4 linked regions of the Stegostoma tigrinum genome follow. The protein of the gene in region 3 binds, or shares a complex with, the protein of the main gene of each other region. Links are inferred from orthologs where the notes say so. Each region holds a gene or a part of one and is shown on either strand. Other genes may lie near its edges. The genes, in order: vti1b, stx18, sybl1 and bet1l.

Region 1 (7,773 bases), on a different chromosome or scaffold from region 3:
CATCAAGCAGATGTTCACCTGCACATCTGCCAATGTGGTATACTGCATCCATTGTACCCGGTGTGGCTTCCTCTACATTGGGGAAACCAAGCGGACGCTTGGGGACTGCTTTGCAGAACACCTACGCTCAGTTTGCAGTAAACAACTGCACCTCCCAGACGCGAACCAGTTCAACTCCCCCTCCCATTCCGCAGATGACATGTCCATCCTGGGCCTCCTGCAGCACCACAACGATGCCACCCGTAGGTTGCAGGAACAGCAACCGTATCCCGCTGGGGACCCCGTCACCCAAAGGTATCAATGTGGATTTCACCAGCTTCAAAATCTGCCTTGCCCCCACTGCATCCCAAAACCAGCCCCGCTCGTCCCTGTCTCCTTAACCTGTTCTTCCTCTCACCTATCCCCTCCTCCCACCTCAAGCCATACCTCCATTTCCTACCTACTAACCTCATCCCGCCCCCTTGACCTGTCCATCCTCCCCTGACTGACCTATCCCCTCCCTACCTCCTCACCCTTACTCTTCTTTGTACCTATCTTCTCCTCTATCCATCTTCAGTCCGACTCCCCCATCTCCCTATTTATTTCAGAATCTTCTCCCCGTTCCTCCTCTCTGATGAAGGGTCTAGGCCCGAAACGTCAGCTCGTGCTCCTAAGATGCTGCTTGGCCTGCTGTGTTCGTCCAGCCCCACACTTTGTTATCCTGAATTCTCCAGCATCTGCAGTTCTCATTATCTCAGACCAGAATTGAATACAGCATTCCAAAAGTGGTCTAACAAATATCCTGTACAGCCAACACATGACTTCCCAACTTTTATACTCAGTACACTAACCAATAAAGACAAGTGTACCAAATGCCTTCTTCACTATCCTGTCTACCTCCAACTCTATTTTTAAGGAACAATGAACCTGCACTCCAAGGTCTCTTTCTTCGGCAACACTCCCCAGGACCTTACTGTTAAGGTGTGTAAGTCCTGCCCTGGTTTGTCTTACTAAAAGGAGTACCTCACATTTATCTCAATTAAATTCTATCTGCCACATCTCAGCTCATCTGTTTGAGATTCCGTTGTACTCTGAAATAATCTTCTTGGCTGTCCACTAAACACGAATTTGGTGGCATCACATCCAGATTATTTATAAAAATAATGAAAAGCAGCACACCACTGGTTATAGGCCTCCAGTCTGAAAAGCAACCCTCCAGCACCACTTTCTGACTCAAAGGTAGGAGACAGTCTGTATCCACATGGTTAGTTCACCCTGTACGTAATCTAACCTTGCTAACCAGTCTACTATGCAGAATCTTGTCAAACACCTCACTGAAACCCATATAGACCATATACACCATTCCTCTTTGTCACTTCTTCAAAAAACTCAATCAAGTCTGTGAAACATGATTCCCCACGCACAAAGCCATGTTGACTATCCCTAATCAGTCCTTGCCTTTCCAAATATTAGTAAATCCTGTCCCTCAGGATTCCCTCCAACAGCGTGCCCACCATCGATGTCAGGCTCACCAGTTTACAGTTCGCTGGCTTTTCCTTCCCACCTTTCTTAAATACTGGCACCACATTAACCAATCTTCAGTCTTTTGGCACCTCACCTGTGGCTATCAATGATACAAATATCTCAGCAAGGGGCCCAGCAATCACCTCCCTAGCCTACCTGATCAGATCCTGGGAATTTATCCATTTTAAGACATCCAGCACCACCTCATCAGTAACATGAGCCCTTTTCCAAGATATCACTATTTATTTCCCGTAGTTCTCTATCTTCCATATCCTTCTCCACAGTAAACATTGTTGCAAAATACTCATTTAGTATCTCACCCATCTCGGGGTTATAAATAATAAAGTCAGAGATGGTTTGTAGGTGTTATCGGCCAGACCAAACCCCTTTAAAATATATTGATAAGATAGCCTACCCCAACTTTTTCTTATTTTAAAAAGGCAAGTGTAAGGCATTGTGTTCCAGATGCAATGCGATTGGTCAAACTATTCAACTTTCAGGAAAACATGCTTTATTTTTACACTACAGTTAAAGTCCAGACAAAATAAAAAGAAAAGGAAAGAATTGGCTTAACTGTAACTCTATAAAAATGCCTTAAATAATAAAGTACGTATTAACTACTAATTAACTGTCCAAATATAGTAACATCCCATAAATACTGTTGAGAAAGGTAAACTCAGTCAAATAGATCGTCTCACATGCAATTCTAACAACAAGACCCAAGCAACTGCAGAAAGCTAAAACTAAAAATCCTGGTTCTGAGAGAGTTGAACCCGACCCATTCAGCCTGCTTCTATTGCTCCAACTTTAAAAAAACACCCAAGTCCTCACAAGCTGTTTAATTATCTTTGAGCAGACCACTGAGCACCTAAGTCTCAACCTTCCTTTATAAAAGAAAAACAGGACAAAATAAACCTTTTAAGCCATTGTATCATCACAAAGCAGAGAAAAGATGCCAGTGAGAGGAAGGGCCGTCTGTTTTGGCTATCATTTTCAGTGTTGATGATTTCACAAAGTTACAGTGACAGCTAGTTTTGAACTGGAACTGGAGTCCAAAAGGGTGTTCATTGCTGGACTTTACAGCATGCAAACTGGTGCTCTACGCAGGGCCAGTACAGGCCAGGGCTATACGCAGAACATATAGAGGTGAGGGCTGATTACATGCTGTACACAGTGAGAGGGAATGTCTCCCTAAAGGGGAGCAAATGGGAAATTCTCGTAAGAAGGGTCAGATCAGCCATGATATCATTGAATGGTAGAGCAGGCTCGAAGGACTGAATGGCCTACGCTCAAACCTCATAAAGAAAAAGCAGCATTTCTCAGTCTCACCTCCTGAATATCTAGGCAGGCGCTCACATTGACACCTCAGTTCCTCGAAAACACTACCAAAGGCTTCGTGCATCTTCTCAAACTCCTCGGATGACATCTTTAAAGTGATTTAAATCTCGATCTGGTACAAAACAAACAGCCGACAGCGACACAACGTCCGACTTTTCAAGCCCCGCCTCCTTCCGCAATCACATGACAATATACACACAACAACATCCCCCATCCCCGACCACAAAATCCTGAGGTTTTATCAACATCGTTACTTACTGCTTCAGCCACCATTTTCAGATCGTCATCTCCCCGCTAAAGGGGCAATAACCGAGTCTCTTAAGCCCCGGGGGGTTGGGGGAAGGAGACGGAGACGGACCGCGTGGCCCCGTGCATTCTGGGGGTTGTAGTCCCAGCCGCTTCTGGTTCCCCGGGGATTGGCCGAGCCCTTTCCTGCAGAAGATGCCGGTCTTGTTCACCATCATTGGGATCTCTGCAATTGCTGCTCTTCTGGCAGCATTTGGCCCATATATCAGGTCAGTATTTTCGCCTAAGGATGAATTCGAAGCCCTTCTTGGCTCTGTAAAGATAAAGTTAAATTGTATGTAATTTTACAAACTGTAAGCAGGCTTTTACTTAGTAATGTGGGTTCCAGCCCCTTGAAAAAATGTTACAATTTGTCACGAACAAATTGGGAGTTCAGTTGTATTCGTTAAACTAACACGCAATACAGAATACAGTTTTACGAAATCTGTTTATTTGAATAAGAAGCAAAATAATTGGGCTTTTGTAGATTATTTTCAAAGTACCTTGAGGAATCGTTCGAATTGATTGTGCAGGAAAGTACATCTTGCCGGTGTATTTTAACCATCTTTTGTTTTCTTGGCTGAACATTTGCTGCGGTTAAGTAAATCAGCCCATTCTCTCTGTACCCGAATAAAACTTTGCTTGTAAAAATAAAACCCTTCAAAGTGGTCATTTACATAATCAATCTTTTGTTCGCAGAAACCACTGCCCTGTAATTGTACAACATTTGCAACGTACTGCACGCAGAAGGCATGGACTTATAATCAGATCATGAGTTTGGGATAATAAAATGTGAGGCTGGATGAACACAGCAGGCCAAGCAGCATCTCAGGAGCACAAAAGCTGACGTTTCGGGCCTAGACCCTTCATCAGAGAGGGGGATGGGGGGAGGGAACTGGAATAAATAGGGAGAGAGGGGGAGGCGGAACGAAGATGGAGAGTAAAGAAGATAGGTGGAGAGGGTGTAGGTGGGGAGGTAGGGAGGGGATAGGTCAGTCCAGGGAAGACGGACAGGTCAAGGAGGTGGGATGAGGTTAGTAGGTAGCGGGGGGTGCGGCTTGGGGTGGGAGGAAGGGATGGGTGAGAGGAAGAACCGGTTAGGGAGGCAGAGACAGGTTGGACTGGTTTTGGGATGCAGTGGGTGGGGGGGAAGAGCTGGGCTGGTTGTGTGGTGCAGTGGGGGGAGGGGATGAACTGGGATTTCAGATACCTCTCACTTTGGCTACTTGCTGTTTCGGCTGATTTTTCAGTCACTGCTTTTCAGGATTAGTTCCTTATTGGATCAAAGGTGTTTCACTTGAAGCTAATAAAATGTGAGGCTGGATGAACACAGCAGGCCAAGCAGCATCTCAGGAGCACAAAAGCTGACGTTTCGGGCCTAGACCCTTCATCAGAGCGGGGGATGGGGGGAGGGAACTGGAATAAATAGGGAGAGAGGGGGAGGCGGACCGAAGATGGAGAGTAAAGAAGATAGGTGGAGAGAGTGTAGGTGGGGAGGTAGGGAGGGGATAGGTCAGTCCAGGGAAGATGGACAGGTCAAGGAGGTGGGATGAGGTTAGTAGGTAGCTTGGGGTGGGAGGAAGGGATGGGTGAGAGGAAGAACCGGTTAGGGAGGCAGAGACAGGCTGGACTGGTTTTGGGATGCAGTGGGTGGGGGGGAAGAGCTGGGCTGGTTGTGTGGTGCAGTGGGGGGAGGGGATGAACTGGGCTGGTTTAGGGATGCAGTAGGGGAAGGGGAGATTTTGAAACTGGTGAAGTCCACATTGATACCATATGGCTGCAGGGTTCCCAGGCGGAATATGAGTTGCTGTTCCTGCAACCTTCGGGTGGCATCATTGTGGCAGTGCAGGAGTCCCATGATGGACATGTCATCAAGAGAATGGGAGGGGGAGTGGAAATGGTTTGCGACTGGGAGGTGCAGTTGTTTGTTGCGAACTGAGCGGAGGTGTTCTGCAAAGCGGTCCCCAAGCCTCCGCTTGGTTTCCCCAATGTAGAGGAAGCCGCACCGGGTACAGTGGATGCAGTATACCACATTGGCAGATGTGCAGGTGAACCTCTGCTTAATGTGGAATGTCATCTTGGGGCCTGGGATGGGGGTGAGGGAGGAGGTGTGGGGACAAGTGTAGCATTTCCTGCGGTTGCAGGGGAAGGTGCCGGGTGTGGTGGGGTTGGAGGGCAGTGTGGAGCGAACAAGGGAGTCACGGAGAGAGTGGTCTCTCCGGAAAGCAGACAGGGGAGGGGATGGAAAAATGTCTTGGGTGGTGGGGTCGGATTGTAAATGGCGGAAGTGTCGGAGGATAATGCGTTGTATCCGGAGGTTGGTAGGGTGGTGTGTGAGAACGAGGGGGTTCCTCTTGGGGCGGTTGTGGCGGGGGCGGGCTGTGAGGGATGTGTCGCGGGAAATGCGGGAGACGCGGTCAAGGGCGTTCTCGATCACCGTGGGGGGAAAGTTGCGGTCCTTAAAGAACTTGGACATCTGGGATGTGCGGGAGTGGAATGTCTTATCGTGGGGGCGGAGGCGGAGGAATTGGGAGTAGGGGATGGAATTTTTGCAGGAGGGTGGGTGGGAGGAGGTGTATTCTAGGTAGCTGTGGGAGTCGGTGGGCTTGAAATGGACATCAGTTACAAGCTGGTTGCCTGAGATGGAGACTGAGAGGTCCAGGAAGGTGAGGGATGTGCTGGAGATGGCCCAGGTGAACTGAAGGTTGGGGTGGAAGGTGTTGGTGAAGTGGATGAACTGTTCGAGCTCCTCTGGGGAGCAAGAGGCGGCGCCGATACAGTCATCAATGTACCGGAGGAAGAGGTGGGGTTTGGGGCCTGTGTAGGTGCGGAAGAGGGACTGTTCCACGTAACCTACAAAGAGGCAGGCATAGCTGGGCCCCATGCGGGTGCCCATGGCCACCCCCTTAGTCTGTAGGAAGTGGGAGGAGTCAAAAGAGAAGTTGTTGAGTGTGAGGACGAGTTCAGTTAGGCGGATGAGAGTGTCGGTGGAGGGGGCCTGGTCGGGCCTGCGGGACAGGAAGAAGCGGAGGGCCTTGAGGCCATCTGCATGCGGAATGCAGGTGTACAGGGACTGGACGTCCATGGTGAATATGAGGTGTTGGGGGCCAGGGAATTGGAAGTCCTGGAGGAGGTGGAGGGCGTGGGTGGTGTCACGGACGTAGGTGGGGAGTTCCTGGACCAAAGGGGAGAAAATGGAGTCCAGATAGGTGGAGATGAGTTCGGTGGGGCAGGAGCAGGCTGAGACGATGGGTCGACCAGGGCAGGCAGGTTTGTGGATTTTGGGAAGGAGATAGAAACGGGCCGTGCGGGGTTGGGGAACAATGAGGTTGGAGGCTGTGGGTGGGAGGTCCCCTGAGGTGATGAGGTCGTGAATGGTGTTGGAGATGATGGTTTGGTGCTCGGGTGTGGGGTCATGATCGAGGAGGCGGTAGGAGGTGGTGTCGGAGAGTTGGCGTCTGGCCTCGGCGATGTAGAGGTCAGTGCGCCATACTACCACTGCGCCACCCTTGTCTGCGGGTTTGATGGTGAGGTTGGGGTGGGAGCGGAGGGCTGCCCGTTCTGCGGGGGAGAGGTTGGAGTGGGTGAGAGGGGCGGAGAGGTTGAGGCGGTTAATGTCTCGACGACAGTTGGAGATGAAGAGGTCGAGGGAGGGTAGGAGGCCGGGGGGTGGTGTCCAGGAGGAGGACTTGTGTTGGAAGCGGGTGAAGGGGTCAGTGGAAGGAGGGTTGGGTTCCCGGTTGAAGAAGTAGGCAAGGAGGCGAAGACGGCGGAAAAACTGCTCTATGTCCGACCGTGACTGGTATTCGTTGATGTGTGGTTGTAGGGGGACAAAGGTGAGCCCCTTGCTAAGGACTGACCGTTCGTCCTCAGTCAGTGGGAGGTCTGGGGGGATGGTGAAGATGCGGCAGGGCTCAGTGTGGCTGTCTCCTCTGGGGTTGCAGGCTGTGGAGGTTGTGGGCGGAGCGATGAGGTCGTCGGCCGTGGGCGGGGTTCCGTCGGCCGTGGGCGGGGTTCCCCCACTTGAAGCTTTAGCTTTGTGAATGGTGTTACCCGATCTAAATTCTTCTCCCTGAACCTAACTACTTTCAGTCGGGATCTTTAAACTAATTAGCAAAACTAATCTTGTTCAGCAAAGCCAGATCTTACAAATGGTTTTTATTTCACATTTCCACGTGAACCATTTAACCATTAACCACGCTCTGTTCGGCAGAATAGGTGTTATTCCCACACAGCCTTGGTTTTGTACTGGGGGAAACTATTAATGCAGCACTATTTATTATGTAGCTTGGGAACTCCTAATGTTCAGTTTTCTGTAATTAAGTACTGAACAAGCTGCAAGAGAACGAGCGGGGGGGAGTCTTACGGAGATCTGAATAACATTGGCCATGGTGAGAAATCTGGAAAATAGCATGAGAAGTGAGACAAGCCAATTTTCAGACAGTTTTGAGATTATTGCTTGGGAGCAGCAAGATGAATAGTAAGAGGGATTAATGCTCAATAAGTCTTATTGACAATGACTCTTGCCTCATTGTGATGCATTCTCACCCCAATAATAGGAATTCTACTCCTTGCCACAAGAAACCAGATGCCAGCAATTCCTGTGAGCCTCCATCTTGTATATCTGGTGACAGTATCTCAGCTGAC
Region 2 (7,455 bases), on a different chromosome or scaffold from region 3:
TGTGGTTACCCCATCACAAACAAGTATGTTCTTTTTGAAAACGTAGGGGACAATAGACTCTCAGGGGAACATAGCACTAGCAGACAGGTTTCTGGTACCAAGACTGGCTCGAACATATCAAGGGATATACCGGGTTCCAAGTAATTGTTTGTGATAGGGTACTCACTAGTCAGAGGCATAGCCAGACAACAATGGAGACAACACTGTGGCCGATAGCGAGATGCCTCCCTGGAGCCAGGATCAAAGATGTGTCAGAGAGGCAGAATATTCTCAACAGAGAGAGGGGCCAGTGTGATGTTGTTGAACACCTTGGAATTAACTACATAGATACAGAAAAGGATGAAATTCTGTGGACAGAATATAGGAAGTTAGGCAGGAATATAAAAAGTAGGTCCTCAAGGGTAGTAAGGCAGATGAACTCTGGCTATGATTAGAAACATGGGACTGGGATATCATAGCAAATATGGAGACGTGGCTCAGGGGTGGATAGGACTGACAGTTTAATGCTCCAGATGCTATAGGAAGAATTGAAAGGGAGGTCTCGGCTTCTCACCCTCACTTTCCTAGCCGTTGTTATATCAAGTCTATGAATAAAGATTGGCATGCACGTCACAGCACGAGTCAACTGCTTACTTTGGTTCTCTGTGGCAGTTGCCAACTTCTCCAAGGAGAAGTAATGCGCTAATGTGCCTGACATATGGCAGACATCAAGGCTTTCCATAGTCTGTGCAAAACAGCTCAGAACCCCTAGCATCTTGATCATATGTTGTTTAAACTGCTGCATTTTTGGCAGGCTTCTTTTGACCACTACCAAAGAGCCTGCTTTCAGCATGGGACTCTGCAGGGGGCTATGCCAGGACAGCCCTCAGTGTCAACAACCTTGGTGGTGACAGCCTCTAATAGTTGCTGGGATATGCATTCATTAGAAACTGACCCCAAATCTGAACACAACACATTCATGATCTTGGAGGGTGTACCTCCGCTGCGGAGGGTGAAAGGCAGGCAGGTAACAGTGCATCCTGTAGTGTGGTTGTCCTCGGAGGTGGTGTCTTCACTCTTCTTAAGTGGCTGAGGCCTATGTTCTGGCATGCAGGAACCTGTATAAAGAGAACAAAAACAAACCCTTTAAAACAGAGATTCTGAGCACTACACAATGCACTGTGGTCCCGAGCACCCTTTATGGCTACAGCAGGTCAAGTTCATTCTCCCTCTGAACCCCAGCCACTCCAGCCTTGCCATCAACAACAGATTGGCCTTCTATTCTCTGCAGGACTGCTTTCGCAGCAAAGGCAAGGACCATAAGATTTGGCATACTTCTGCCCATCTTTCTCCTTGCTGTCTGATTATGAATCTGCTTGTCCTTCACAAGAAAGTGAAGAATTAACAAACTGACAAATGCTACCAAGGCCCTACCAGATAATGGTAGCTTATATCAAACTGCTTACTCAAGCTAACCGGAACTAATCTGTCATGCAGTCCGAAGGCAGATCACACATTCATTCTCAACACCTAGTTGCCCACCAAACAAACACATAGCCAAGACAAACAATGTTGCATAACTGAGACACTTATCCAGGTGGATGGGTGGAGATCACTGACCATTTTGTGACACAGCACCTGTGGTCTCTGGCAGGCCTAACCTCTGCAATCTCTCTCTAGGTCTTATCAGGCGTGTAGGTCAGACTACTGTTGCCATTGCTCAAAGTACATCATCCACTATTCCAAATTGGTCTGGATAGGATTTGCAGGATGCATTGGGATGTCTCTGTTCTGACTGGGTGTAAAGGGTTAAATCTAACTGTGATATTTCTGAGAAGACAGTGTACACCATAGGAATTTATGCAATGTTTTAAGAACAAAGTGTCTCCTCCAGCCTCCTGCCAAGATGGAACCATGGTTCGGTCTTTCTTAAATAGAATTGATGTTTTCCTTACTTCAACATGCTCTTGAGGTATTCCTTATCAGCATCTCAAGGCCCAAAACACCAAAAGGGGATAAAGGATGGGGGCAGAGTGGGGGAAGAGAAGAGGTGCACAAAAAAAATGCCAATTTTTGACAAAAAGGAGTAGGAAAAGTGGGCCCTTGATACAGTGTCTCCTTGCATGTCCAGGTGGCTCTGCCACAGTCCTGCTGGACCTGAACCATCATCAGACGAGGTTAGCTTCGAGAGGAAATTTGTCCCCATCCACACAATTGCACATATTTCACATGCCTGCCACTCGTCCTTTAAATATTGATAAGAATCGAGAGAATACCAGCTCCAGGAAAACAGAAATGGGTTAACAAAGTGTAGCGCTGGATGAACACAGCAGGCCAACCAGCATGTTAAGAGCACAAAAGCTGGGAAGGAAAAGAGATGCGGACCGAAGATGGATAGAGAGGGTAGGTGGAAAGGAGTGTGTTTGGGGGTGGGGGGAAAGGTAGGTAGGGAAGGGATAAGTCAGTCTGGGGAGGACGGACAGGTCAAGGGGGCCAGGTGGGGTTAGTAGGTAGGAAATGAAGGTGCGGATTGAAGTGGGAGGAGGGGATAGGTGAGGGAAAGAACAGGTTAGGGAGGCTGGGATGAGCTGGGCTGGTTTTGGGATGCAGTGGGGGGGGGGGGGGGGAAGAGGGGAGATTTTGAAGCTGGTGAAATCCACATTGATACCATTGGGATGCAGGGTTTCCAAGCGAAATATGAGTTGTTGTTCCTGCAACCACGGGTGGCATCATTTTGGCACCGCTGGAGGCCCAGGATGGACATGTCGTCTGAGGAATGGGAGGGGGAGTTGAAATGGTTCACAACTGGGAGATGCAGTTGTTTGTTGCAAACCGAGCGGAGGTGTTCTGCAAAGCAGTCCCCAAGTCTCCGCTTGGTTTCCCCAATGTAGAGGAGGCCACACTGTGTACAGCGGATACAGTATACCACAGTGGTGGATGTGCAGGTGAACAAATGCTTGATGTGGAAAGTCATCTTGGGGCCTGGATGGGGATGAGGGAGGAGGTGTGGGGGCAGGTGTAGCACTTCCTGCGGTTGGCAGTCCCTCCTCCGCACCTACACCCCACCTCTTCCTTCAATACATTGCTGACTGTATCGGCGCCACCTCATGCTCCCAAGAGGAGCTCGAACAGTTCATCCACTTCACCAACACCTTCCACCCCAACCTCAAGTTCACCAGGACCATCTCCAACACATCCCTCACCTTCCTGGACCTGTGTCTCCATCTCAGACTACCACCTACAAACCGATGTCCCCTTCAAGCCCACCAACTTCCACAGCTACCTGGTATACAGCTTCTCCCACCCACCTTTCTGCTAAAATTCCATCCTCTATTCCTTCGCCGCCTCCACATCTGTTCGCAGGATGAGGCATTCCACTCCTGCACATCCCAGATGTCCTCATTCTTCAAGGACAGCAACTCCCACCCCCTTGACCTGTCCGTCCTCCCCGGACTGACCTATCCCCTCCCTCCCCCCCCCCCCATACTCTCCTCTCCACCTATCTTCTCCTCTATCTATCCTTGGTCCGCCTCCCCCTCTCTCCCTATTTATTTCAGAATCCTCTCCCCCTTCCCCCATGAAGGGTCTGGGCCCAAAACGTCAGCTTTTGTGCTCCTAAGATGCTGCTTGGCTTGCTGTGTTCATCCAGCTCCACACTTTGTTATCTCGGATCTACCAGCATCTGCAGTTCCCATTATCTCTAAACATAAACGGGTGCCCACTTCTGCTTTCATCGCCTGGCACCACAAATCGCTGATTAAATGTCACGCTGTTGAGCCCGGAGCGCACGAAACTAACTGAATAATTCTGAGGAACGGCACCTCAGGCTTCCGTTTGGAATAAATTAACTTAAATTCTGGATTCCATTCGGCCTGGAAGCTTGAAATGTGCAAAAGCGTTTCCAACATTGATTGTCAGCCCCCGGGTGAATTGTAATCAGTCACAACATCCTCCGACTCACTATTTACAAGAGACGCACGGTGGGGCGAGGGTCACTAACAGGAAATACTGAGCAAGCTTTTCCAGAGGTGGAATGCAGTACAGGTGATGGTGAGGAGTTAGTCCTGGTCTGAGCGGTTTCCATAAAAGCTGTGATGAAGCCCAGAGGGAAGGGAGTACAATGCTGGAGCTGGAAAAACAGAGCAGGCCAGGCAGCATCAGAGGAGCAGGAAAGCTGGCGTTTCGGGTCGGAACCCTTCTGCAGTGTTATCTCAGACTCCAGCATCTGCAGCTCTTACTATCTCAGAGGGAAGGGAAGTAGCTTTCACGTGGTTTGGTCTCCAAGGCGAACCCGGGCTCATCCAGTAACGACCCGTGGGCGAACCGCCCTGGGAAACCACGAAACCCTCATCGGAATTATTCACCCTCCGCGTTCCCGCCACCTGCTTCACCCGTTCTCCGACGCCGACCGGGTCGCCGCAAGATGACGCCGCCACCGTCGCCCGTGCCCGGGGTGAGGGGCGGCGTCGCGCCGTGATGATCTCTCCAGCGGTGACGTGTCTTCGGTCAGAATGGCGGCCGACATCACGCTCTTGTTCCGAGCGAGTGTGAAAACCGTCAAAACTCGGAACAAGGCGATCGGTGTCAGTGGCGAACCGGTCAGGGAGGAGATCCTGAGGAAGGGGAGGACGAGGGCCGAGTTCACCGCCCGGGCCAGAGAAGTGGTGAGTGCCAGAGAGAATTGAAGCAATGCAGGGGGAGTACGGAGGCTTGCCATTGAACGTTGGGAAGAACAAAAACAGAAGTTGCTGGAAAATCTCAGCAGGTCTGGCAGCATCTGTGAAGAAGAAATCAGAGTTAATGTTTCGGGTCCGGTTACCCTTCCTCAGAACTGTCAACTTAAACAGAGGCCACCGAGCCCTACACCTCTTCAACCCACTGCCTTTATCCGCAACAGATGCGGCAGAGACTGTCTTGCCAGAGTGTCTCACGCTGGAAAGAGTTGTATTTCTGTGGCACCGTTTACTTCTAGCGAACACCACACCCCTCCCCCCACCCGCCGAAAGCGTTTTACAGCCAATGGTACATTTCTGAAATGTAGTCGTTGTTGTGCTGTAGGCAACACAGCGGCCAGCCAGTGTGTGCACAGCAATGTGGTATACGCACAGTAGCTCACTGTCCAGCACGAAAATGATTTGCTTCCCCGTGGTCACCTCTCTGAGAATCACCAGCTATGTGGTTCAGGTGAGCTACTCTGGCATGACAGTCTCTGCCGCATCTGTTGCGGATGAGGGCAGTGGTAGGACTCGGTGGCCTCTGTTTAAGTTGGCCGTTCTATCAGCCAGCCGATCTCTTTGTCTCTGTTAGTTTCATTCAAACAGTCAATCTCCAGAGTCAGGGTTGTTTCTGTATGCCCTTGGAACAGGTGTGGATGGCCCAGGAAGTCATGGTGCTATATAGATAGTTCAGTTTACAGATGATCATTTTCTGTTGAATGTGGCCAGGTCAGCACAGACATTATGTTCCAGACCTCTAAGTTTGTGTCCTTATCCTGCCAAGAGATGCTGACGTTATGTTTGCGACAGTGAAGGTGAAAATTGTTCCACAGATAATTTGCTGGTTACTATGGAGTCTACATATGTAAGACTGTAAACAAACTCCAGTGTCACATTATCAATGCTGATAGATGGCATATGGCGACATTCTAAAAATGATCCTGATACTATTGGCCATACCACCAATTTACAATGTGAGAGAATCTGTCAGAATTCCACTCAAGGTGTTGCTCAGTATGGAATGTTAGTGTAGTATTGTCAGCCTAGAGCAGCTGTGATGAGAGCTTGATGCTTTTTGTCTTAGATCTTAGGTGGGCAAGAATGAGTAGGTTCTGTCAGTTCTAGTATGTAAGTAGGTACTGTGAACGGGTCACCAGCTGGGATATGGCATTAGCAAAAAGGTGTATATGCCAAAAGGTGTTGGTGTCACACTACAGATTTCAAAGAATACCAATCTGACCCTAGCTGACTTTGCTCAGTATTTTGTTAAGGAAATAAGATCTCATTGAGCAGCTTCGGCAGGTGACCAAAGCATAAAAGTTGAACACAGATACCAATAAATTCTTCCCTGCTTCTTCTGAATGGACCTTTTAAATTTCAAATCTAATGATGATCTTGCTTTTTGAGCACCTCTTTGCAACCATAACTTAGAATTCCTTACTGTGTTCAATCATCCTATGATCTTTGTATGTTATGATTTGCGTGTACTGCACCCAAAACAAAATTTTTCACTGTACTTAGGTACATGTGACAATAATATATTCAATTAAATCAGGCAGCACAAATGGCCTGTCTCATCTCACGTGATTGAATGCCTTGGTGAAGTGAAAGTCCTTGATATATTGTTGCCATTGCTTGCGTCATTTCTCTTGCAGCTGCTGGACAGAGAAGGTCTTGTCAATTTTATATCATCCAGTTCGACCCAAATCGTCAAGCTTTCCTGCTCCTCTGATGCTGCTTGGCCTGCTGTGTTCATCCAGCTTCATACCATGTTATTTCAAAAAGATGCATTCAACCAAGATCTGGAGTCTGAGGAAGGCAATGCTAGAAGATTTTTTTTAGCGTGCCACTCAGCAGGAAGATGCTTTTATGGCTTTGCAATTGTTGCAGTTACCCTTGTTCTTATACAGGGTATTAGTCTTAGAATCATGCATATCCTGGGCACTGCCACTTCCTTCCAGCAGATGCTGCAGGAGTGCTGGATTTTTGTGCTTAATTGTATTTAGGTCATGTAGCATAAGCATCTCCAGCTTTAGTCACAGCAAGAAATAGTGTAACTGAGCTGTGGATTCAATATCTGGCTCTGCCATGACAGCAGGCTTTCATGTTGTCTAGACCGTCCTCAGTAACAGTCTGTACAGTTTATTTCACAGTAGCGTTTCAAGTATCTCTCCAAATGTATATTTTGTTCTTGATTACTGCCCCTGTCTTTGCTAACAATGGAGCTGTTTTCTTTGCTGCTTTTTGCCTGCTTCAAATGTGCCTCTGACATTCCCATATCAAAGGACATCTGTCCCTGCTGAAGCCTGCAGTCAGTGTGTTTGTCTAACAGTCTGTTGGACTTTTATTTCGATCAGGTCTTAGTGTAACAGCATATGTTCACTCAGATTTCTGTTGTAGTTGGTGAAACGAAAGGAGCCAGATCACCGCTGTTTTTATGTTGTTTGTCGAGAGATATTTATTGGCTTTGATAGCAGGGATAGCTCCACTGCTTTTTGACCTAGTACCGTTTGTGACCATCTGAGAGAGCAGAGAGAGACTCATTTCAATGTCCAAACTGAAAGACAGCACCTCTGACAATATAGCACTCCTTCAATACTGAACTGGAGTATCAGCCTTGATTTTTGTCTTGAAGACCTAGAGTGGGACTTGAACCTTAAACCTCTGCTTTGAGTGACAGTCCGCCAGCTGAACCACAACTCTTACATTTATATGTTATCGTGAAATCCAGAAGCTGTTCGCAATGAGTGTTGAGGGGTAA
Region 3 (7,168 bases):
GCTAAGTGGATGTGGTTAATGAGATCTGTATTTGAAAAGAATTGATCAGGTGATGCAAGGTACAGGCAAAGCGAAAATAAAGCAGATAATTTTCTAAACAAGACAACTGTGACCTTAGTTACATTCCAGTTGTAAGCTTGGAAGGAGTAGGGTACAAAGTTGTGACATAAACAGATTACGTAACACTACACCTACAAAAGGCAAAACTCTCAAACAAAATCAACATACAATACAAGCAGTCTTGCTCAAACCTATCTAGATTCCACTTACTGAATCCAAACAGTGTTACAGATTAGCAATTGCACATTAACAATTAACATTTTATCTCACCAAGGCATAGGGCATTCAAGGCATTTTAAAGCAAAATTTACAGGCTTAAAATGTGGTTTAGCAGTGCCATTGTCAATGCATTGTCTCTGTATTCTTCCATCTGATTTAAGTACAAATCAGGAGCTGGCAGTCATTTGGCCCTTCAAGTCTGCTCTGCTTTTTAACATCATAGCTGATCCTTTAATCTCTGGAGATGCCCACCTTCTCTCATACCCCTTGATGCCTTTTATAGTTTAAAAACTTGAACTTTGAATACATTAAACGAGTTAAAATTTAGCTCTGATGATGTGGATGGACATCTCTCCAAGCAAATGCCTATGCAAAATTAAATTTGGGTTCATTATATAAATGCAGTTAAAGTCAGCAGCAACATGGCAGCCATAGATAAGCTGAAATTAGAAATGGAAAAATCCTATTAGCACTACAATGACAAGTCTCTCTTTTACAGAAACTGTTAAAATACAGAGTTAAAACAAGTTTACTCTCCATCCATAAGTAACCCAACTAGTTTGACCCAGGAAAAGGGGTGAGCCATTCAGCACAGAGCTATTTCACCATCCTAGGTGATCAATCATCTCAGTGCCAGTTCTTTTCCCACTATCACAATGTCCCTTAAGTGACATATTTTGAGTTCAACCTGCACTATGATTGAGCTTCCACAATCCTCTACAGTAGAGAATTCTAAAAAGACTCATGCCTTTCATTTGAAGATTTTCCTCCTTATCACAGTCTTAAAATGCTGTGCTCCTTAGCCGGAGATCTGTCCCTGGGTCTAAGGTCACAGAGGAGGTGCCCTATTTATATCTACATTGTCACATTTTATGACTTGTATAGGTTTCAAAAGGGTCACTTCTTGCATTTCCAAAGTTCTAGAGAACACAAACCAAGTTTCCTCAATCTTTCATGACAATCCTGTCATCCCATTAATCTGGTGATCTTGCCAAAAATGGGCAAGTATTCAAATTTCAGCATATTGTTGGCTGTGTGGCAGTAAGTCATTCCATTAAACTCTATTTTCCAAAGAGTATAGACACAAAAACATGATCAATCTCATTAACCATAAAATAACAGGGAAGGTGCAGGGGGAAGAGGGGGTGGGGGAAGGACCCTAGTCTAGGATCACAATGGTGTTAGATTACAGGAACTTCCTTGTGAATGTTTATTCTACAGAATGTCCAATAAATGTAAGAAAGAATGGTTCATTACCAGAACAACTTTTCCATACATGCATGATATCACTCATAGAGAAATGACGCTTCTGCTTTTAACTCAAAATATGCCAAAACAAAACTTCTCAGCATGTGAAAGCAGCAGTTACAAAATTCTCAGCTCAAAGATCTCGGGACTTACTTTCCATGAGAATAAGTCAGTTTATTATTTTCTGATGGTATTTTTGATAGTATCTGTTCAGTCACTTCCAAAAAATTCCCTCCACACCAGGCATTCTTTGCCAGGATGGTAGTGCCTCTTGCAACTACTGCAAACAAGATAGCCATGGCTCCTCTGAAAAGGTGATACAAAATACAAATGTACATCACAACTTTCAAATCACTAGATTACAACAAGATAAATACTCCCACTATGAACACACTATTTACTCCATACTGAAAAGTACAAGACATCATAATGAGAAAAGCAGGATCACAGTTACAGATTAAGGAACAAGCCAGCCAGACAAGAAAGTTTTAAAGTCATAGTGCTTTGCTTAGAATCAATTTTAATGCTAGCCTGGAAATAGGATTGAAATGAATGTTCACCTTACTTCATAGAATCATGTAGTACAGAAGAGGCCCTTTGGTCCATTAACTCTTTACTGCCAAAACTACACTATTACCATCTACACTAGACCCATAGACTTAAATATTACAACACTTCAAGGTGTTCATCCAAGTACATTTTCAAAAGTTGAGATTTCCCCACCTCAACTGCCATCCCAGACAGTGTATTCCAGATCCCCACCACCATACAGTCAAAAAAGCTTTTCTCTAAATCCCTTCTAAACTTCCTACTTTTTACCTTAAAGATTACACCTCCTTGTTAACCCAGCCACCAAGGAGAACAAGTCCTTTCTCCTCAGTCTTATACACCTCAACCTTCTCTGCTGAGAAGTAAATAACCTGAGTTTAGCGACTCTGTCTTTGTGGCCAAAATGTTCAATCCCAGTGGATCATTTCTGCAAGTACACCCTTCCAATAGCGTGGTGACCAACTGTGGCCTAGAGCTCTAAATAGTCTTTGCAAGACGTCTCAAACTGATCCTCCAACTAATTTCGCTTTCGAGCTTCCTTCACCAACAACCGTTCACGCTTCGCAGTAAACGTTAGATACTCAAGTACGGGTCTTACAACAAACGGAAGAAGCGATGCGACCCAACACAGCCCACAGCTGAAGTTCTCCACCTGCAGCTCATCAAAACACCAGTGACACCTGAGCCCTTTCCCTAGGTAAACATTCCCCAAACTGAAAGCTCCACACTACGACGTTACATGTCTTCACCATAAAAACAAACAGCATCCACAAACTCTGGGCGAGCTCGACTAACGTCCTAATGACAGCAACAATTAAACAAAAACTGTCCCATACCCTTCCCTGAGCTTCCTCCACTCCGGGGCCTTATCCTCAAGCTTCACCCTTTCCACACACTTCCGGTCAGGTGATACCTTTGCCACGCGCACGCACAGGTCGACACGGCCAGCCTCCTCACAAAACGCACGCAACCATCAGCCTTACGCGAATTATGGGAAATGTCGTTCAAGCCGTGAAAGTAACGGACATTTACAGGCGCGTTTATCCTTCGAAGACTACAATTCCCGGCATCCATGGAGAACGACGTTTAATACCGGCGTCGACATCCAGTGTCGAAGTGGACCCCAGAGCGACAGCGTGAGGATGGCAACAGCTGAAGGGATGCAGAAACCTGTCCTGGAAGTGGTGAGTACGTTCTCTCGTAGTGTCCAGCACTTGACTAACCTTAGTATCAGAGATAATGGGAACTGCAGATGCTGGAGATTCCAAGATAATAAAATGTGAGGCTGGATGAACACAGCAGGCCAAGCAGCATCTTGGCCTGCTGTGTTCATCCAGCCTCACATTTTATTAACTTGACTAACCTTGTTTGTTTTTGTTTTTGTTTTGGAGGCGGTACTAGAGAAAATTGATAAAATCATAGATGCAAGTGATCTGAATTTTCAGAAGGCGTTTGGAAAGAACGATAAGGTCTGAGAATATGGAGTCTGTAGACAGACTATTATTTGCTGTCTTCAAAGCAATTACTTTATATCACAGGAAAAAAATACTTATGACTCACATATGAAGTTCTGAGCATGTCTGTCAACAAGAATAAGTAGTGGGCATAGAAGACCGTTGAAATCCAATGCTATGCCGACCTCTCTAACATGCTCAGCCATTTCCAGGCCACCTTAGACCTTGAATGGTTCAAAAACAAACAATCTTGAAGGCAGTAATATACTCCTCAAATACGATGTAGTCACCCAAGATTTTTGGAAAGAGCATTACTAGTTTCAGACAAGATTCCAACAGTTTGATAGATTAACTTTGGGTATATGCCCACGTTTGCTGAGAGACTATCCAAAAGATGAAATATAACACTGTATGGTTGGACAATGTTTCTGCAGAGATCAATAAAGTGGGTAGGCATGAATATTTGCTCAAACCTTCAGACTTTGTACAAGTCAGGGAAGAAGATGTATTTCTTCTCAGCTTCCACAAAGCAGTATTGTTTTTCTATTTTAAGAAGGGTGCAAAATTAATACCATCAATGCACTATCATCAGGGTTCATAGTCTTTGTGGTATCCAGTGCTGTCAGCTGTTTTTTGAAATCATACAGAGTGAACTGAATTGGCTGAAGACTGATATAAATGATGTTGATGTATAAGGTATGTACTCAGCACTTCTGGCTGAAGAGGGTTGCAAATGTTTCATCTTTGCTTTTTTGCATAGATATGCTAGGCTGCCTTTCATTGAGGAAAGAGTTGTTTTTGGAGCCTATTGCTCCACTTGTTCAGTTGTCCACTACTGTTACTGACTAGTTGTTGAAAAACTGCTCAGCTTAGGTTTGATTCATTGAGTGTAGGATCGTTTAGCTCTCTTTATATCATTTGCTGCCTCTGCCATTTGATATGCAGTAGTCTTGTGTTGTAGTTTCTGCATACTTTGAGATATGTCTGGTGTAGCTCCTGCCATGCCCTCTTGCACTCTTCATTGAATCAGGCTCTCTGCTTGATAGTAATTGTACAGCAGAGTTATGCAAGGCCATGAAGTTACAGATTGTAGCTGAATTTAATTCAGTTGCTGATGGCCCACTATGCCTCAAAGGTGCTTAGTTTTGAGTTGCTATCCCATTCTGCCCCATTTAGTAGAATGGTAGTGCCATGTAGCAGGATAGAGCGTATTTGCAATGTGCAGATAGGACTTTACAAGAAGTGGCCTGCCCAACCAATAAGGTAATTGACAGATTCATTTCTGCTGGGTAGATTGGTCTGGACCTTCTCAGTTTAGCAAATTGGATCCTCTTTGCTCTAACAAACAAACAATCCATGCTTGCTATCAAGAGCAATTCAGAACAGGTCACATAACCACTTTTCAATTAATCATGAATTGAAGATCCAACCTCGAGATGATGATCTTATAACTTTCATCATTTTAATGTAATCAGTCACATAGAAAGCTCCTGACACTTGATCAGTCAGTAAGTCTGGCCATCACTGTTTTGGTAGGATGGGGTAGAATTCTTCAAATCTAAACTAAACAGCAGGTTGGATAGAGGTAAGCAGAGATGAAGATTTAAACTTTCAAACAATCTCATCTCCCAAGCTATTGACCCTGTTCATCTTTGTGGCCACTGTTTAAGACTGTTGAATATGATTGCACATTAGCTGACTGCATATTCACTTCCACACGAAGATCGTCTCCTTCCAACTCTGCAGCACTGCTCGATTCAGCTCCTACCTCAGCTCATCTGCTGCTGAGATTGTAACTTGTTCTGGATGTGAGTTTGCTCGCTGAGCTGGAAGGTTAGTTTTCAGACGTTTTGTCACCATTCGAGGTAACATCATCAGTGAGCCTTCGACGAAGCGCTGGTGTTATGTCCCGCTTTCTATTTATCTGGTTAGGTTTCCTTGGGTTGGTGATGTCATTTCCTGTTCTTTTTCTCAGAGGGTGGTAGATGGGCTCCAAATCAATGTGTTTGTTGATGGAGTTCCCGTTGGAATGCCATGCTTCTAGGAATTCTCGTGCGTGTCTCTGTTTGGCTTGTCCTAGGATGGATGTGTTATCCCAATCAAAGTGGTGTCCTTCCTCATCTGTATGGAAGGATACTAGTGATAGTGGGTCATGTCTTTTTGTGGCTAATTGATGTTCACGTATCCTGGTGGCTAGCTTTCTGCCTGTTTGTCCAATGTAGTGTTTGCCATAGTCTTGCTACATTGGACAAACAGGCAGAAAGCTAGCCACCAGGATACGTGAACATCAACGAGCCACAAAAAGACATGACCCACTATCACTAGTATCCTTCCATACAGATGAGGGAGGACACCACTTTGATTGGGATAACACATCCATCCTAGGACAAGCCAAACAGAGACACGCACGAGAATTCCTAGAAGCATGGCATTCCAACCGGAACTCCATCAACAAACACATTGATTTGGAGCCCATCTACAACCCTCTGAGAAAAAGAACAGGAAATGACATCACCAACCCAAGGAAACCTAAACAGATAAATAGAAAGCGGGACATAACACCAGCGCTTCGTCGAAGGCTCACTGATGATGTTACCTAGAATGGTGACGAAACATCTGGGAACAAACCTTCAAGATCAGTGAACCAGCTTACATCTGGAACAAAATAAAGACCCACTCTCTTGTGGACCGAGAGGAGGAGAGTGCTGTGTTGGAGGTGAAAGAAGGACGTCGGGATGGCTGTGCACCCTTGCGACCGGTTGATCTTAATGCTGGCTTCGGCCTAACACTGGTTTAGGGGAGCAGCCAACCTGCAACGATGGCTGCGGCAAGTGCTCGTGCCCCAGGTCAGGGGGTCCGGAACACCATTTGTGTTTCTGTAAAGAAGGTGGATGAAGGTGCACCTGTGGACCGCACCTTCTTCATGAAGAGGGTCCTGTTGGACTGTTGTGGGTTCGCTGCTGCGGACATTTACTGCCTGCAGGATTTCCCCGGAGGAGGTTTTTACAATGTGACCTTCAGGAGTGCCAAGCTTTGCGAGCGCTTCCTGGAGGTTTTCAAGGAGAAAGGAGGTGAGGGCCCCCTCTCTGTATTGACCGCTGTCCCGCTGTTTGTGGTGCCAGCGCAGGGGGTCGTATGGTGACTGTACACATGTACAACCCGCGTGTGCCAGCAGCTGATGTCCTGACCTTCCTTGGAAGATACGTGAAGGTGGAAGGGGACCTAACTGACATCATGGACCGCTTTTGGCATCTGGACCAGTAAGAGGCAGGTCAAGGTGACGCTGAGGATGGGCGCGGACGGGAACGTCGTACACCCACTGTCCAGCTTCGCGATCGGCGGGAGCAAGGGCTACCTGACCTATGCAGGGCAACCTAAAGTCTGCCATGCCTGTGGTAGGTCAGGTCACGTGGCGGCCGACTGCAAAGCCACCATCTGCAGGGAGGAGGGACACCTTGCAAACCTGCAACCTTTGCGGGGAAGCGGGCCACCTCTATAGGGCATGCCTGCAGCAGGGGACCACTTACGCCCAGGTCGCCGGCAGGGGCAATGCGGGGCCAGCCCCCCCGGAGAAGAGGAAGGCACCAGGGCCCAGCAAGGACCCCACTAATGTGCAGGAGAGCCAGGCCATGCAGGAG
Region 4 (7,844 bases), on a different chromosome or scaffold from region 3:
GTAACAGCACTTTTGGTGTACTTCACCCCAAGGACAATAACAGTTCAAGAAAGCTGCTCACGACTACCTCTTTTGGACAATTCAAGATGGGCAATAAAGGGTTAGGAAGGAGGCTTCAAGTAATTAAAAAAAACATAAAAATAGGAACAGTATGCTATTTGGCCCTTTGAGTCTGTTCTACCATTCATTATGATCATGGCTGCTCATAGAACTCATTTCCTGATCCTACTTTCTCCCCATGCCCTTTGATCTCTTTTGCCCTAAGAACTACATTTAGCTCCTCCTTGAAATCATTCAATCTTTTGGTTCAACTGTTTTCTGTGGCAGAGAATTTCACAGACTAGCCACTCTCTGGGTGATTGCAGCAAGACATACCAACTTCTGAATTGAATCGCCTCACAATGATGACCAACATACCATTTGCCTTCTTCACTGTCTGCTGCACCTGTGTGCTTCCTTTCAGCAATTAGAATACAAAAAACACCCAGGTCTAGTTGCACCTCCCCCATTCCTAATCTACCATCATTAAGATATTAATCTGCCTTCCTGTTTTTGCTACCAAAATGGATAACTTCACATTTCTCCATAGTATATTTCATCTACAAAACATTTGCCCATTTACTCAACTTGTCCAAATCACACTGAAGCATCTCTGCATCATCCTCTTAGTTCACTCTCCCATCCAACTTGTTGTGTCACTTGCAAATTTGGAAATATATTTAGTTCCCTCACCTAAATCATTAATATATATTGTGAACACAGAAAAGCAGCATTGAGGTACATTAGAAGAGGCAGTACAAAAACAAAGTAGAAAATATGTCAAAAAAAATTATTAGGAAAACAATGAGAAACTGTGCAATTAGAGGAGCAGCAAACCAAGCAAATTACAGCTATATCATTTAAAAAATAGTTTTATGAGAAAAGGACCATAAGGGATAGGTAGGAGATAATATAAAGACAATGGTAACAGTTAACGATAGAGGGATGGCAGAAATTTTAAATAACTATTTTGATTCAGTATTTGATCAGTCAGATGCAAACAGGTAGACATAATACTTAATTGTGAGAAGGGTGATGACAAATTAACTTTATTCAAAAGAGAATAAAGTCCCTGGTGTTAATGTGTCTAGAATTACTTGTCACATATAATCATTTGTTAGGAAAAGGTACAGTGCCAGAGTACTGGCAAATAGCTCATGCGACTCCTACATTTAAAAAGAAGCCAAGACATTTTCAGGACATTACTGACCAATCAGATGAACACCAGTGGTTGGAAAATAATGTAATTCTTACAGAAGGACAGAATAGTAGGATATTTACAAGAAATATGCTAATGAACAGTCAGCATGAATTTTAAAAGAGAAAGTCTTGTTAACTTAACCTTATGAAGTCTGCAAGGCAATGGAGAGGAGGCAATAGTAATACAGATGTAATTATCTTGATTTTCAAAAGGTCTTTTACAATAGATTAATAAAGTCAGAGAACAGAATCCAGAGACAAGTGGTAGAATGAATTCTAAGCTGTCTGCAAGACATAAAAGCAAAGAATGGGAGTAAAGGAGTGACAGAAGATGGGAAGTTGTGTTTCACAAGGAACATTCCTGGGGTCACTACTCATCATAACGTACATTAATGACTGTGGAATCAAAGTATCAATTTCTAACTTCACATGTGATAACCCAATTCATGTGGAGGGAGGGTAGTCAATTGTGAAGTGTACTGCAACAAATTACAGTATAGACAAATATTGGGTAAATGAAGTTCAACAAATAAAAGTTAGATGCCATGTTTTGCTAGGAAGAATGGGGTGATCAATTTTTAATTAGAAGAGCTTAATTTACATGGTAGATGAACAAAACAATCAACACACAACTACATTAAACACTACATATTGTGGAACAGACATAAACAGATATTGCTGGAGAAAATCAGAGGGTCTGGCAGCATCTGTGGACAGAAAACAGACTTAACATCAAGTCCAGTGACCCTACTTCAGAACTAAATAACATGCCACAGCCAAGCAAGATGACAAAAATATAAACCAAACACCTCATTTTACTTGCAGAAAAATTGAATTTAAAAAGTAGGACTGTTTAAACTACCCTAAACCTGTATCAAACTTAGATCTTGAGAGCAGGCCATCTTAGGCTCATCAATCTTGCTCTCCATCTTGGTTAGATAGTTCTGCACGCAGTCTGGTCACCTCAGTAAAACAGAAATGTTCTAAAGACACAGGCAAATGTGTAAACAAGATTTACATAGATGCTAGCATGAGCAAAGTATTGATAGGCTGAAACTCCTCTGTTTCCTGAAAAGACCTAATTACACACCTTTAAAATTATGACAGCTTTTGTCAGAACAGACACAGAGAAATTGTTTCCTCTTAAGACGATCACCAAGAATCACAAAGGGAAACTCAGAATAAGGTTCTCAACACAGAATACAGAATATATAGCTGAAGCAAATTACGTGGATTCATTTAATGCGAAGATGGACAGGTGGACGAAGAAGTGTTTTAGAGGGCTCCACTGGTTGGATTGAGGAGGCTCAAATGGAGCATGAGCACTGACAGTATATCCTAGGTAATTAATGACACAACTGTCAACTAACCAGTAATTTATAAACGTTTAATATGATTAACTGTTGTGCTCAATGTCTGCATTGATAAATGTAGGGATAATGTCCAAGTTTCACGGCTTCCTGGATCTGTTCAGTTGGTTATTCAGCATCCGCGATTCCTTCTTTCTCCACGTACCGAGCTGAAGGCCTAGAACATCAGCTCAAACCCGCGTTCTTAATATTCACAACATTCAGTAAGTGCCCGATCTCAGTCACCCTCACACCGGCCCACAAGCTGAATTACTCTCCAGCCCTCTGCCTCCCTCTCTCTCTCACCTCGGTTCCGCTCCGCCATTTCTGCGGCCACAGCATCCGGGATTCACGCAGAGGGTGGGACCTCCTGTCCATCAAACCGGCAAAGGCGGGGCTACATGCATTTCAATCCGTGAGAAGTGAGGCCTCCTGTCCATCAACCCGGAGAGGTGGGGCCACCTGTCCATCAACGAGAGAGGTGGGATTACCTACGCAACGTAATGCTGAAGTGCTGGTGGGATGGGCTGGACAAAATCCGAAGTAACGACACCCGGTTCTCGTCCAACTGATTTATTTGAAATCACAAACTTTCGAAGCTCCTTCATAAGGTGAAGTGAGAGAGAAGCACACAAAATTTATAGGCAGACAGATCAAGAGCCGAGAGATCAAAAGATCATACAAATGGTGCGAGTGGAGTTGTCGAATAATAAATCTGCAGCAGATCAAAAGTGTCCTTCTGGTCTGAGTAAAGTGTCAACATCTGAATATCAAGCAAAGCAAATGACCTATAATCTGATTAAATGAGGCAGAGATACAAATACAAGAAACTAAAAATAAGGTGGTACTGGAGACAAATCAAAAGACTGGAATAACATAATAAATATGAGTCACATGCTGAATGCGACTCATGGGAATGGCCAGTTAAACCCTGGAGTTGGTTACATGTCAACTATCCAGGTCTTTTTATGGCTCAATGTACTTAGTCATTGCAGATACCCACTCAAAGTGGTTAGACATCCATAGTGTTCATTTGTCAAACACAGGAGCAGTGAGAGAAAAAACTGTGCATCTTTTGCAATACATGGACTCCAGCAGTTTTGGCCACAGATAATGGGCCAATGTTTACTAGCAGAGAATTTGAATATTTCTTAAAGTTGAATGGGATTCAACATATAAGGAGAGCTCCATACCATCCATCATCTAATTGCCTGGCAGAAAGAGCAGTCCAAATTGTCAAGGCTGGTTTGAAGAAAGAGTATACAGCTTCACCAGAGACCAAACTGTCTTGGTTCCTCTTTGATTAAAGCACCACTCCTCATGCATTTATAAAGATGGTTCCAAACAGTTGCTAATGGGGTGAAGACTCTGCACCAGGTTAAATCTGATCCTCCCGGACTTGGGGTGGGATGCATGTGAAACAGCAACAGAAACGCCAGTGTTGGATGCCACGCTCCACCAAGTGAGAGAGACAGTTTACTTCACGGGACAAATGTTGATGTAGGAACCTTGAAAATGGCCCTGAATGGGTAAGATGTGCCAGCCTCGATGCAAGGCCAGGAGTGGTGACGTATAAAGTTCATGTAGGAATGATGGTCCTGACAAACACGTGGACCATATGAGAGCTGCAATGTCACAAAAGATGTGGGAGCAAAACATGCCCTTCTTCTTGAAACAGTTGAAAAGGCTGTCAAAAACCATGAGTTCTCCCGTTCCAGCAAGTGTTGAGGAGACCTCTTAATCTGAGATTAACACAGCATATCTCACTGCATTGACCACCATCTACAAAGCATAAGGCAGGGGCATGATGGAATTCTCCCAGTTGCTTGGATGGATGCAGCTCCAATTACAATCAAGAAGCTTGACACCATCAAGGACAAAGCAGCCTGCTTGATTGACACCATATCCACAAGCATCCACTCCCTTCATCACTGATGCTCAGTAATAGCAATATGTGCCATCTATAAGGTGCACTGCAGACATGCATCAAAGATCAAAGTTGCTGGAAAAGCTCAGCAGGTTTGGCAGCATCTATGACGGAAAAACAGAGTTAAAATTTCGGGTCCGGTGATCCTTCTGAGGAAGGATCCTGACTTGGAAATATGGTGTCGCTTCTTCACTGTTGCTGGATCAAAATCCTGTATTTCCTTCCCTAAGAGCATTGTGGATTGATGTGTACAGAATACGGGCTGCAGTTAGTTCAAGAAGACCTTCGGCTTCCACCGGCTTCCCAAGGGCAACTAGAGATGGGCAATAAATGCTGGCCAACCAGTAATGCCCATACACCATAAATGAATTTTAAAAATGACAATATGTACACTGTTTGCATCCGCTTTGCAGTTTGCCTTCCACATTTTTGTGTAGTCAGCAAATTTGGCTACAGTACATTTGCTTCCTTCCTCTAAATTATTGATAATATATTGTAAACTTACCCTTGAACAAACTATATGGGAAGGGAGGGGAGCAATTTTAATCAAACATTATATATCTAAAAATAACACGGTGTGAAACTGGATGAACACAGCAGGCCAAGCAGCATCAGAGGAGCAGGAAAGTTCTAAAAGCTGATTAGTTATAATAGTCGTAGGTCTGAGGTGTGTGGGCGTCCCCTGCCTCAGCGGGCGGGGACTGTATTGGTGAGTGGGTCTTCATTTGTGGGCGGTGCCAGCCTCGTGACAGGGGGCGGCCTCTATGGGCGGGGATATTAGGCTCATGGGCGGGACCTTTCACTTCGGACGAGTCCCGTTTCTGTGGATGGGTTTGTGTCCAGCATCCTTTATGGGCGGGCCCTGGCTTAATGGGCGGGGACATGGTCTTTGGGCGGGGTCTCCCTCCGTGTACGCTTTCTGTCTCTGTGGCTTCGATTGGGTCCCGATAGGAGGGCTCTACCTCTGTGGGCGGGCATGAACCGAAGGGCCTGGCCGGTATCCGTAGGGCGGTGTCAAACTAAGTGGGCGGGGCCAGACTACAAATATGGGTGTGGTTAGGGCCCACAGGCGGACGCCCTTTGTGGGCGGGGCATAACCTTCCAGGCCGATCCTCTCTCCCTCAGTGGGCGGGGCCCGTGTCCATGGGAAGAAGCATTCTGCTCTGGGCGGGCTTTTGGGTCTTCGGACACCGTGGGCGGTTCTGTAGAGCTGGAGGTGGCTCTGATGTGCGCTGCGCCGCTCCGGACTGGGGATGGAGCTGAGTCGGCTGATCGAACAGATCGAGAGCGAGGATCAAGATATAGTGCTTGCAGCGCTCCAACTTCATAACACGGAGGTGAGTGTCAACAGAACACCGGGGCCCTGGGACACTCTGATCGAATGTGGTAATGGAGCTGGATTACATCGGGTAACTCTCTGGACCTGAGCGGCACCTGGGCCAAGGGCAAAGGCCAAACCCGCTTTACCCAGTAAACAGCAACAATTGCAGCCTTCCTCCCTCCGGAAAGCAATTGCAGCCTGCCCAGGCCCGGGATTTACCGTTAAACCTAAACCAGCCAATACCAAAGCCGTGTTCCCGACTGTGCCCCGCCCCCATGCACAGGCCCCGCCCCCTCAGTGTTCTCCTCCCCCTCCCAATCGTTTCACTACCCCTTGAGCACCTCTTCCTCCCTCGTCTTCCCAGTGTAGAGTGAGCACCTTAAGTACCCCTGCCATTGCTGCAGGAAATTTGCCTCATCACCACTCACCTCCAGCTGTTCCGGAATTGAGGAGCTTCAGAAGTCCCAGTGGGCCTGAAGCTATGATCCAGTGCTTTGGTTCCAGTTTGATGTGTTTGAGTCCTGTATCTGGCAATCTTTTGAGGTTCATGGGGGCTTGTAAATACAAGTGTCTGTGCAAATCTGGTGAGGATGGTATGGTGGCTCAGCGGTTAGCACTACTGCCTCACAGCACCAGGGACTGGAATTCGATTCCACTCTCGGGTGACTGTCTGCCTCCAGTTTGTACATTCTCCCTGTGTCTGTGTGGGTTTCCTCCCACAGTCCAAAGATGTGCAGGCTAGATGAGTTAGCCATGGGAAATGCAGGAGTATTGGTTAGGAGGATGAGTTTGGGTGGGATGCTCTTCAGAGGGTTGGTGTGGACTGGATTGGCTAAATGATCTGCTTCCACACTGCCAGGATTCTGTGATTCTAGGTGTGAGTTGGTTGGGTGGCTGGGACTCTGGAAAACCATTAACTTAGGAAGGAACAGAAAAAGATGCTGGAAAAGCTCAGCAGGTCTGGCAGCATCTGTGAAGGAGAAAACAGAGTTAACATTTCGGGCCCGGTGACCCTTCCTCAGTTCCAACCCGAAATGTTAACTCTGTTTTCTCCTTCACAGATGCTGCCAGACCTGCTGAGCTTTACCAGCAACTTTGGTTTTGATCCTGATTTACAGCATTGCAGTTCTTTTGGTTTTTATCTCAGGAAGGAAGTTGGTATCCTAGGCTCTGAGAGTGTTTTAGTGGCTTTGTGATGGGGCTGCCAAGGACTGAGAGCGGGAGTTCTGGGAGTATGTGGTCAGGGTTTTGAGAGAGGTTGTTTGGTAGACTGATTGTCTGGGACCCTGAAGGCCCCATCACGTGGTGAAGAAGCTTAGGGTCTGATCTATGTGCCATGAAGGTTAAAGCTGGGGTTGTGACAAATCTTTGAGTTGGACTGTGTGAGTGGCTTGTGGGTGGAATTGCTGATCTCTGCAATCCAGGTACAGACAGAGTGCCTATGCGAAACCTGCATTCTGGCTTTCTGATTTGTATTTCAAACTTGGAGCAGCTTGCGTAGTTATTCAATGTATGAACTTCAATCAATGGTGACAATTCACTTTCTGTTAAACTTCCAACCAAAAGCAGGATAACAGCTGCAAAGCCAATATGCAAATGCATTTTTCTTTCTTTAGCTTGAATATTGCTGGCAGAAGGGAGGAGTGAGAGAAGTATAGTGATAGAAGAGAGAGTGTAGAGAGATTTTGATGAAGATTGGAATCAGGATGTTGAGGGTTGGGGTGGGTTTGGGATGGAGATTGGATTGTTGAGAGTTATCAATGTAGAGGGGTCACACTAGAGGCTCCGTCCAAGAACACAGTAGTTTAGATAACATCCTAGCAGTTTGTAAAATTGCATCCAACATATTTAGTAATTCTAGGAAAAATAATGACCATTAAAATGTTTTTAGCTTATATAAAAATGGAACTGACACAAATGTCACCTGCCCTAATAGCTCCGGCAGCATGGTATCAATCTTATTTGATAATGCTCTCTTGGACATTTTACCATGTAAAGATGTCATATT

Evidence for each region.
Region 1: sybl1 (region 3) and vti1b share a complex: the UniProt entries of both Homo sapiens proteins name them as parts of the SNARE complex. The link is inferred for Stegostoma tigrinum from reciprocal best matches to the Homo sapiens genes VAMP7 and VTI1B.
Region 2: sybl1 (region 3) and stx18 share a complex: the UniProt entries of both Homo sapiens proteins name them as parts of the SNARE complex. The link is inferred for Stegostoma tigrinum from reciprocal best matches to the Homo sapiens genes VAMP7 and STX18.
Region 4: sybl1 (region 3) and bet1l share a complex: the UniProt entries of both Homo sapiens proteins name them as parts of the SNARE complex. The link is inferred for Stegostoma tigrinum from reciprocal best matches to the Homo sapiens genes VAMP7 and BET1L.

The regions. Positions count from the first base shown.
Region 1 is NC_081363.1:69,072,961-69,080,733, forward strand, and holds the start of vti1b (vesicle transport through interaction with t-SNAREs homolog 1B), read right to left. Parts: upstream 3,032-7,773; 5' UTR 2,930-3,031; coding exon 2,833-2,929; intron 1-2,832. Other genes in the region: rdh12 (retinol dehydrogenase 12), read left to right, coding at 3,283-3,356. UniProt on the Homo sapiens protein: V-SNARE that mediates vesicle transport pathways through interactions with t-SNAREs on the target membrane. These interactions are proposed to mediate aspects of the specificity of vesicle trafficking and to promote fusion of the lipid bilayers.
Region 2 is NC_081354.1:17,153,056-17,160,510, reverse strand, and holds the start of stx18 (syntaxin-18), read left to right. Parts: upstream 1-4,437; 5' UTR 4,438-4,490; coding exon 4,491-4,643; intron 4,644-7,455. UniProt on the Homo sapiens protein: Syntaxin that may be involved in targeting and fusion of Golgi-derived retrograde transport vesicles with the ER.
Region 3 is NC_081368.1:48,299,396-48,306,563, forward strand, and holds the start of sybl1 (vesicle-associated membrane protein 7), read right to left. Parts: upstream 3,024-7,168; 5' UTR 2,913-3,023; intron 1,834-2,912; 5' UTR 1,827-1,833; coding exon 1,681-1,826; intron 1-1,680. Other genes in the region: polr1d (DNA-directed RNA polymerases I and III subunit RPAC2), read left to right, coding at 3,219-3,260. UniProt on the Homo sapiens protein: Involved in the targeting and/or fusion of transport vesicles to their target membrane during transport of proteins from the early endosome to the lysosome. Required for heterotypic fusion of late endosomes with lysosomes and homotypic lysosomal fusion.
Region 4 is NC_081370.1:34,967,587-34,975,430, reverse strand, and holds the start of bet1l (BET1-like protein), read right to left. Parts: upstream 3,005-7,844; 5' UTR 2,914-3,004; coding exon 2,895-2,913; intron 1-2,894. Other genes in the region: ric8a (synembryn-A), read left to right, coding at 5,769-5,852. UniProt on the Homo sapiens protein: Vesicle SNARE required for targeting and fusion of retrograde transport vesicles with the Golgi complex. Required for the integrity of the Golgi complex.